2 linked regions of the Sus scrofa genome follow. The protein of the gene in region 2 interacts with the protein of the main gene of each other region in a pairwise test. Links are inferred from orthologs where the notes say so. Each region holds a gene or a part of one and is shown on either strand. Other genes may lie near its edges.

Region 1 (4,404 bases), on a different chromosome or scaffold from region 2:
CCCTCCCACCTCACCCCTTCCTTCCACCTGCTTCTCCCTTTCTCTTCAGCAGAAGCCTGGCCCAGACGTGGGTGGAGACAGGGAGGCCCTCTTCTGCCCCAGAGGGGGATCAGCAAGGCTCCAGGCAGCAGGGACCCCAGGACACTAGGACAGCCCAGCTCGATTTCAGCCCAGCTGTCCGGGTCAGAAACACCCAGCTGGGCATCCTCTAGGGCCACGCGGGCCCCGTGCTATTTCTGGACTTCTCCCAGACACTCGTGCCCCAGCCTGCCTGGAGTCAGCTCTGCCCAGGGCAACCTTGCACAAACCTCAGAAAGAAGAGGTAAACAGGCTGCAGGAGGGGTGTGGGTGCCGCAGCCTAAGGCAACGATCTCCTGTTTGGCCCGCCGACCTCACACCTCTGCCCACTCAATCCTCTGGACGCCAGGTGTGCACCTGAGCTTGCAAGATGAGGACAAAGGGACTGGCAGCAGAGATACTGCCATGCAAAGCCTTTGGGAAGGGCCTGGCACACAGGATGAGGAAGGTGGGGTTGGGACTGACCCACAACCAAGCCCACTTCCTGTCCCAGGCTGCCCTCTGCCTGGGCCTGAGCTCACAATCATGGCCTTTTTTCTTGGCCCAGAGAAGTACAGAAACTTACCCAAAGTCACGAGCAAGTGACAGAACAGAGACAGGACAGTGGTCTCATGATTAGATCATCTATAATACATATATATATACATATATAATTTTTTTTTCCTTTTTATAGAGCCTCACCCACAGCGTGTGGAGGTTCCCAGGCTAGGGGTCCAATTGGAGCTACAGCTGCCAGCCTCTGCCACATCCACAGCCACACAGGATCCCGAGCCGCATCTGTGACCTACACCACAGCTCACGGCAACGCCAGATCCTTAACCCACTGAGCAAGGCCAGGGATCGAACCCACAACTTCATGATTCCTAGTCGGAGTCATTTCCACTGCGCCACAGTGGGAACTCCTATAAGACATATATGTTTTAACCCGGTGATATATGTATGTGGCTCAAAATTCAAAAGCTCTAAAGGGAATAAAGTTAAAAAAAAAAACCTCCCTCCCACTCCTGTCCCCAGTTTCCCTCCCTGCAGGCATCACTGCGACGAGATAGCTGCACGTCCTCCCAGTGAGATGTTAGTCACAAACAAACAATAATGGACATATAGTCTATTTTTTACACATATGGCAACAGCTCTCTGTACTGTTTTCATCTTGCTCTTTAACTCAGTTATATTGTTCTTAATATGTGTTATTAACATATTATCAATTATGTTATTAATTGTGCCACATCAGTACATAAAGAACCTGTCAGCCTCTAGCAACGGCCACCAAGTATGTGTGTCGTCTCTCTCTATTACAAACCACACTGCAGCCTCACTGCACCTCTGTCACTCCACCTAGAAGTGGGACAGCTAGGTCAGGAGGAAGCACCTGTAATTGCGACAGAGCTGGGGGGCTGTGCTGCATATCGACTGAACTCCCACCAGCAGAGCGCTCAGCAAATGATCAACAAATGTTAGCTCTAGTCATTTGATTACTGGGGTTTTAGGCACCCCTCAATTTTGCACTGGAGGTAACTACCTCACTTAGCCCAACCCCTCCCTGCGTCACATTCCAGTCAGAGAAGATAATAAACTTGCTAATAAGTGAAATTATAGGACATCAGCGCGGTAAATGCTACTGAGAAAAACAAAATAGAGAAGGGGGAGGGTGGGGCCATATGAAGTTGGTAAATATTTGTTAAAAGAATGAAGGAAAGACTTGTTTTCTTTCTGAGCTTCCAGAACTCCTCTCCCCCCCACCAAGGAGGTGGATTTGGAGGAGAGAGGGTAAGTAACTCCACTTAAAGAGATTCCAGACTTCCAGATGCCACCATTCTGAGTGTCTAGGAATCCAAGATTGAAGCCAGATAGACTGGGAGCCAGCCCCAGAGTTGCCAAGTCTGACCATATGACTTTGGGCAAGGGGCTTAACTTCTTAGACCCTCAGTTTCCCCACCTACAAAAGGACAGCAACAGCAGCAACCTGGGGGTGGGAGATAGGGGGTGGGGGTCCCCAGGAAACAGAGCCTGGTCAGATGCTCTACCAGGAGGGATCCCAGGCCCACCCCCAACTCCAAAGTCTCTGGTGACTAGTGTCTTTGGTTGAGGGGCTGCCTCTAGCCTTTCCCGCCGACCTGTGGTAGATTCCCAAGAATCCAACAACAACTGGAGAGCCAGAGCAGCCCCCCCTGGCACCTAGCCCAGAAATGTCAGTCCCACCAGAGCCTCTGAGAGGGACAGCACTTAATTCAGAGCCCCACAGGCAGAAAGATCCCAAGTGAGCCCAAAGTCCACCCCCTGGCTTTCTGGAGAAGTGAAGACAGATGTCCAGGAGGGGACCCCCCACCCCCACCCCGCAGGACGACACGGGAGAGGGACAGCCAGATGGGGCTCCAGCCAGGGCTCTACTGTCCATGTTCCTGTTGATAAGAGGCTAAGAAAGTGACCCATCTGAGCCTCTCAAGGCAGATCTATTTAGATCAACGTAGACTAGAGACTGAGGTATGGAGCAGAAAGACCTGTATCGGATTCTCTGCTAGACTAGGATACTGCCTCCCTGAGCCTCAGCGTTCTCATTTGTGAAATGGGGTACCACCTCCTCGCCGCAGGTACCACGCGGGGAGGACGCGCACAGCAGGCGCAGGGTGAACTGAGCACCCCCTAGACCCGGGCTGGCGCCCCGGGCCACCCGTGCCCTCACCTGGAGCCCGCGCTAGGCGAGTCCGGCTCCTCCAGTGCGGGTCTTGAGGAGGCTGACAGCTCGGACCCAGGCGGGGAACGGTCGCACACAACGCGTCTCGGGAGGCCCCAGCCCCGCGTAGGGAAGCACGGGAGGTCCTTCTGAGCTGCCCTCAACACCCGAGAGGAGGTAGGGGACTCGACTGTTCCAAGCCCCCACCAGAGTAAAGTTCTGGGGACGCAGGGGAAGGGGAAGTGAACGCGCCGCTCCCCCCTCCACCACACCGGAATGGTTTGCCCCGGACATCCTGATTGGTTTCTCGCTTCCGTTCGAACGCCGCGCCGCCCGCGTTGCCAGGCGACCACTCAGCTTCAGCCAGGAGGGTGAGCCCTGGCCGGCGGCACCGAGGTCCATCCCCGCCCCTCACCGCCTCTCACCTCCCCAGTGGCCTCTGGTTCTTGCCCTTGCTCAGCAGGGACTTACTCCCGGTTCCTAGTACTGACTTTCCAACTAACTCGCTCTGTGAGCCCGTGCACGCCCCTTTCCCTCTCTGTTCCCCAATCTGCAGAGTGAGTGGGTTAGTTTGAAGTAGCGTATATCCAGCACTCTCAATATTGACAAAGGAAATAACCGAATATATGAACAAGATTAATATAGCCCAGCTTTATTTACTGTAGCAAAATAACAGCAATAACTTCAGTGCTCAGTAAAAGGAGATTGGATATATAAATCCATCCTGCAGAAGAACTGAGTTTACAGAGCTTTTTACAAGTAATTTTTCATGACACAACTCTTGTCAGTGCTCATAGTTATAGGTACCTTTAACTATCCTCACTTTCTGATGAGAAATATTATGCAGTCATTTAGAATGACGTTAAAATATGGGGAAAGCACTAAGTCTTATATTTCTAAAAGTTGTGTCAAAGTACTATGTACAATGTAAATATGCATTAAATATGTAATTGTAATATCACATGGACTACATTTATGTATTAACATGTGCAATAGTTAATTTCTTCTTTTTGCTGATATGAATTTTCCAAGCTTCCAACAGTTAAACCAGTATAATTGTTTTCTTTTGGCTGCACCCTCAGCATGTGGAAGTTCCTGGGTCAGGGACTGAACCTGCATGACATTTGCAGCCTGTGCCACAGTTGCAGCAATGCCAAATCCTTAACCCACTGTGCCACAAGGGCACTTCCAAAAAACAAATTTTAAAAAGAGAATTAGAAAAATTAACTCAGCCCTTCCAGATGAGGGAATTTTTTAGCTGTGAGTCACTGTTTGGGTCTAGGGCATTGCTCATTTTGGAGTCAGACTGTTTTCCGTCCCAACTGGTGTTTTTCATTTTTTGATTGGATTGTCAGTGATTGAGCATTGACTGTGACATGCCTTGGGCAGGTGAGGGAAGAGGGCTAATAATGTAGCCCTAGCTAACCATGACTGTACTCTGGCATGGGCACAGCCAGCCATTTCAGGACTGGCTCTGACATCAACAGGAGACTGTGAGGACCAGCTAAATACAAAACCCAGCACTAACTGTGCCCTTGCTAGACTGTGCTCAAGGCCATACTCACAATGTCTCACTTGACTTCATAACCATCTGAGGAGAAAGATTCTATTATTTCTGTTTGTTTGTCTTTTCAGGGCCACAACCACAGCATATG
Region 2 (3,591 bases):
GTTCTAGAAATAAATGTGTTGCAAATTTATATTAGGAGTTCCCAACGTGGCACTGCAGAAACGAATCCGGCTAGGAAGCATGAGATTGCGGGTTCAATCCCTGGACTCAGTGGGTTAAGGATCTGGCGTTGCCATGAGCTATGGTATAGGTCGAAGACGCAGCTTGGATCTGGCGTTGCTGTGGCTGTGGCAAAGGCCAGTGGCTATAGCTCCGATTAGACTCCTAGCCTGGAAACCTATACGCTGCAGGTGCCGCCCTAAAAGGACAAAGAGACAAAAAAATTTTTACGTTAAAAGATAAGGGGAACACATCTAAAAATGAATCTATTAAGAATAATTATGTTGGAGAATAAGGATAGCATGATAGAATTTCTAAACAAGTTTGTACAGGCTTCCTGAGCATTGCAAACTCAAGTTGCATTTTGCCCTAGTAATAATAGATTACTATGATGGTCACACTCCTGAGAGTGTCTCCTGTGTCATAGTAGACCTCTGAGAATTAGAACTACATCTTGAAAAGCTCCAGTGAAATCCACTTAGCACACTGAGTATGAAATTCCATTTGTGAATCCTCTTTTCATTATTTTAGAGTTCCCCATGAATTGGGAAGAGAAACCAGCGAGACTGGTAAACTATTTTAATACCTCTTTAATATTGCTCCGAATTTATACAACAGTATGACAAATTACTGTGGATGTACGATATGCAATGGTTCTTTATTCTCTCCGCCATCATTAAGGCAAGGACAGAAGTAGGGATAAAGTTTCTCCATGAAAGTGCTACTGAAGGTGTAAATGTGGTTCATAGTTTTAGCATTGTAGAAGGATACTTGCCCTCCCTCATAATCCAGGTATATGCCCACCTTGTTGAGGTTGTTATTCAGTTTCAGACTGCAAGAAGGCAAATCTAGAGCCTTTAGATCAGTTTGGTTCCTTAGTCGTAAAAGCCAGAATCCTTGCTCAGGAGTTAGAGGACAGCTGCCCTTCCGAAGAATGGATTCTCTGACAACTCCAACTGTCCATTTTGTCTTCTTTGCTACTTCTACTTCCCAGTACCATTTTCCAGATGTGAAGCCTTTAGAGCCCAGCACAGCCACACTTGAGTCAAACCTCTCTGGATCATCAGGCATTACCTGCTTAATGTCACCATGCCACACACTGGTTCGGTTTTTGGAGAGCACGAGATTTGGGTGAGCAGTTTTAGGGTCCAGTGTTAATGGAGACAGGCCTAGTAAGACAAGAAGAGAAAGCAGGGCATGGGGGTAAAGGGATGAATGCAGGTTCCCATAGACACCAGTGCTTTATCTCCCTAGGCACATATACATTTAGATTAGCAGGTTATTACTTATATACTTTATATTGTTTTGATATCTATGTGGCTATATTCTATATATTTTTACAATGGTAAAAATCAGACTTTACTCTGAAGTAACATATGCTTTAATAAAAATACAAATAACATAAATCTATGCTGATAAATATAAGAAAATATGAATACTGGAAGGGTAAAGATTAGGTAAATGGACCCTAGGAAAGTTATCTAAGGGCAATAAGCACCTCAGTTTTGATATAACATCTTTAAGATGTATCAGGATGCTTTGGGTAAACAGAGACAAAAACAGAATGTGTTAAAAAACGGTACCTTGTGTTAAAGAGAAGATAAGGGCTTTCTTGTTAGAGGCAAGTGAGACTGAGCTAACTGGTACAGAATTTTTAAGACCATGGCGAGAAGTTTATATTTGGTTCAATAGACAGTGAAACGTTTGAGGTCTGAATGCTTAATGCTACTGATAATCAGAATGTGGTTTACAAATGGTTTAATTACCAGTCTGAGGCAAGATATTTTAGAAATTGAGAGTAAGCTCTTAGAAACTTATACTTTTTTTTTCTTTTCAGAAACATATGACTTATTTACATGTTCATGCAACAAACATTTATTAAGTGTCTAAATGTAAGCCCATTTCCTGTGTTAGGTAATGGAAATACAGAGATCAGATACATCTTATATTCATAATGCCCAAACTTTGTGGAGAAATGGGTATGTGAACAATTACAACGGTGTAATACTATGATAGAGGTATATAGAGAGTAACTGCTGAACATAAAGGAAGGATATCTATTTTAAGGGTAGTGTCAAGTAAAAGTAAAGGTCTTCTAGGATGAAGTAAAAAGTAAGCTGATATAAAAGTAAAAATAGAATTATCTAGGTGAAAAAGGAGAAAGATATTCCAGGCAAAAGGAAAGCAAATACACAAACAAGAAAAAGGGTGCACAATATTTTCAAGAGCTGCAGGTACCTTAGCAAGGCTGAAACACAGGGTTATATGGCAGATGATGGCAAGAGATAAGGGTATAAAGGTAGGCAGAGGTCTGATTATGAAGACTTGGTATATCAGGCTAAGGAAGAAACTTACACTTTGACAGAGTAATTTTTTTTTTTTTTTTTTTTTTTTTTTTTACCTTGTCCATAGTATGTGGAAGTTCCTGGGCCAGTTCCTTCGACCCTAACCATGGCAGTGACAACACCATACCCTTAACCTGCTGTACAAGGGAACTTCTGACAGAATAATTTTTATGTCAGTTGATTTAGTTAAAAAACTGGGCTTGTACTTTGTAATCTTTTTTTTTAATTCCACTTTTTCAAGTAATTAACTTGTATTCTATAAACATGACAGGTTGAGATTTAAAAAACTGGTCCTTCATCACAGGTAATTTAGACAAATCAATGGGCAGCAGTATAAAAAAGAATTTCTAAATGAAGATAGGTTGGAAGTGTATCAGCAGCACAAAGTGACACAAATTCTAGATGTGAGATAATTGAGTCTTGGCACAAAATTTGCTAAAGGAAATACAAAAACTATGCGTGTTCACATCATAGACACATATACAAATATGCATACATTTGTTTTAATGGATTTATTTATCCTTGGAAAAAAAAGATCAAACCAGTCCATCTCTCTCATCTGAGAAAAGCCTAAGTCTTTCCATCATCCCAAGGATTTTTTTTTTTCTTTCCAACAGGAGACTTGAAGAATCCTGAAATTTTCCCATATAGGCTGAATCTTCTCTCTCACATAAATCCTCATCCACCTTGGGTTGTCACTCTTTCCAATGTGAGAACTAGGATTTCTTTGGAGGTACTGAAAAGAATTCCTGTCAACTTTTCTTTAGAACCCCAGCCTGATACTAAGCCTCTGACATATCCACCTAGCTCAGTCTGCCCTGGCTCTGAATATTCCTAAGAGTCAGCTGTGTGTCCCCTCTTTTTTTCTTATGCCCTGTTCAGTCCAACAGTAAGTTCTACCAGCTCCACTTTTAAAATACATTTTAAGCCTACTCCAAATATATAGACAAACAACTTTCACCACTGACTTAGAACTACTACAATAGCTTTTTAACTATTCTCTTTCCAGTCTTGCCTGTCTTCAGCCTATTCTGTGCATAGCATGAATAAGATCACTTAGTTCTCCTGTTCAGAATACTTGTATGCCTCCCATCACCCAAGATAAAATCCAGAGTCCTTACAGAGTAAATAAGACCTACCTGATTTACCCACTTCTCTTGACCTCATCTCTCACCACTTACCCTAGCT

What was found.
Region 1: the proteins of TRIM69 (region 2) and FAM110A interact in binary tests that used the Homo sapiens proteins (3 or more experiments, as listed by UniProt). The two-hybrid records come from large-scale screens. The link is inferred for Sus scrofa from reciprocal best matches to the Homo sapiens genes TRIM69 and FAM110A.

What each region holds. Positions count from the first base shown.
Region 1 is NC_010459.5:34,434,734-34,439,137, forward strand, and holds the start of FAM110A (protein FAM110A), read right to left. Parts: upstream 2,997-4,404; 5' UTR 2,759-2,996; exon of another isoform or gene 1-2,758.
Region 2 is NC_010443.5:126,775,179-126,778,769, forward strand, and holds the end of TRIM69 (E3 ubiquitin-protein ligase TRIM69), read right to left. Parts: intron 1,228-3,591; coding exon 686-1,227; 3' UTR 678-685; downstream 1-677.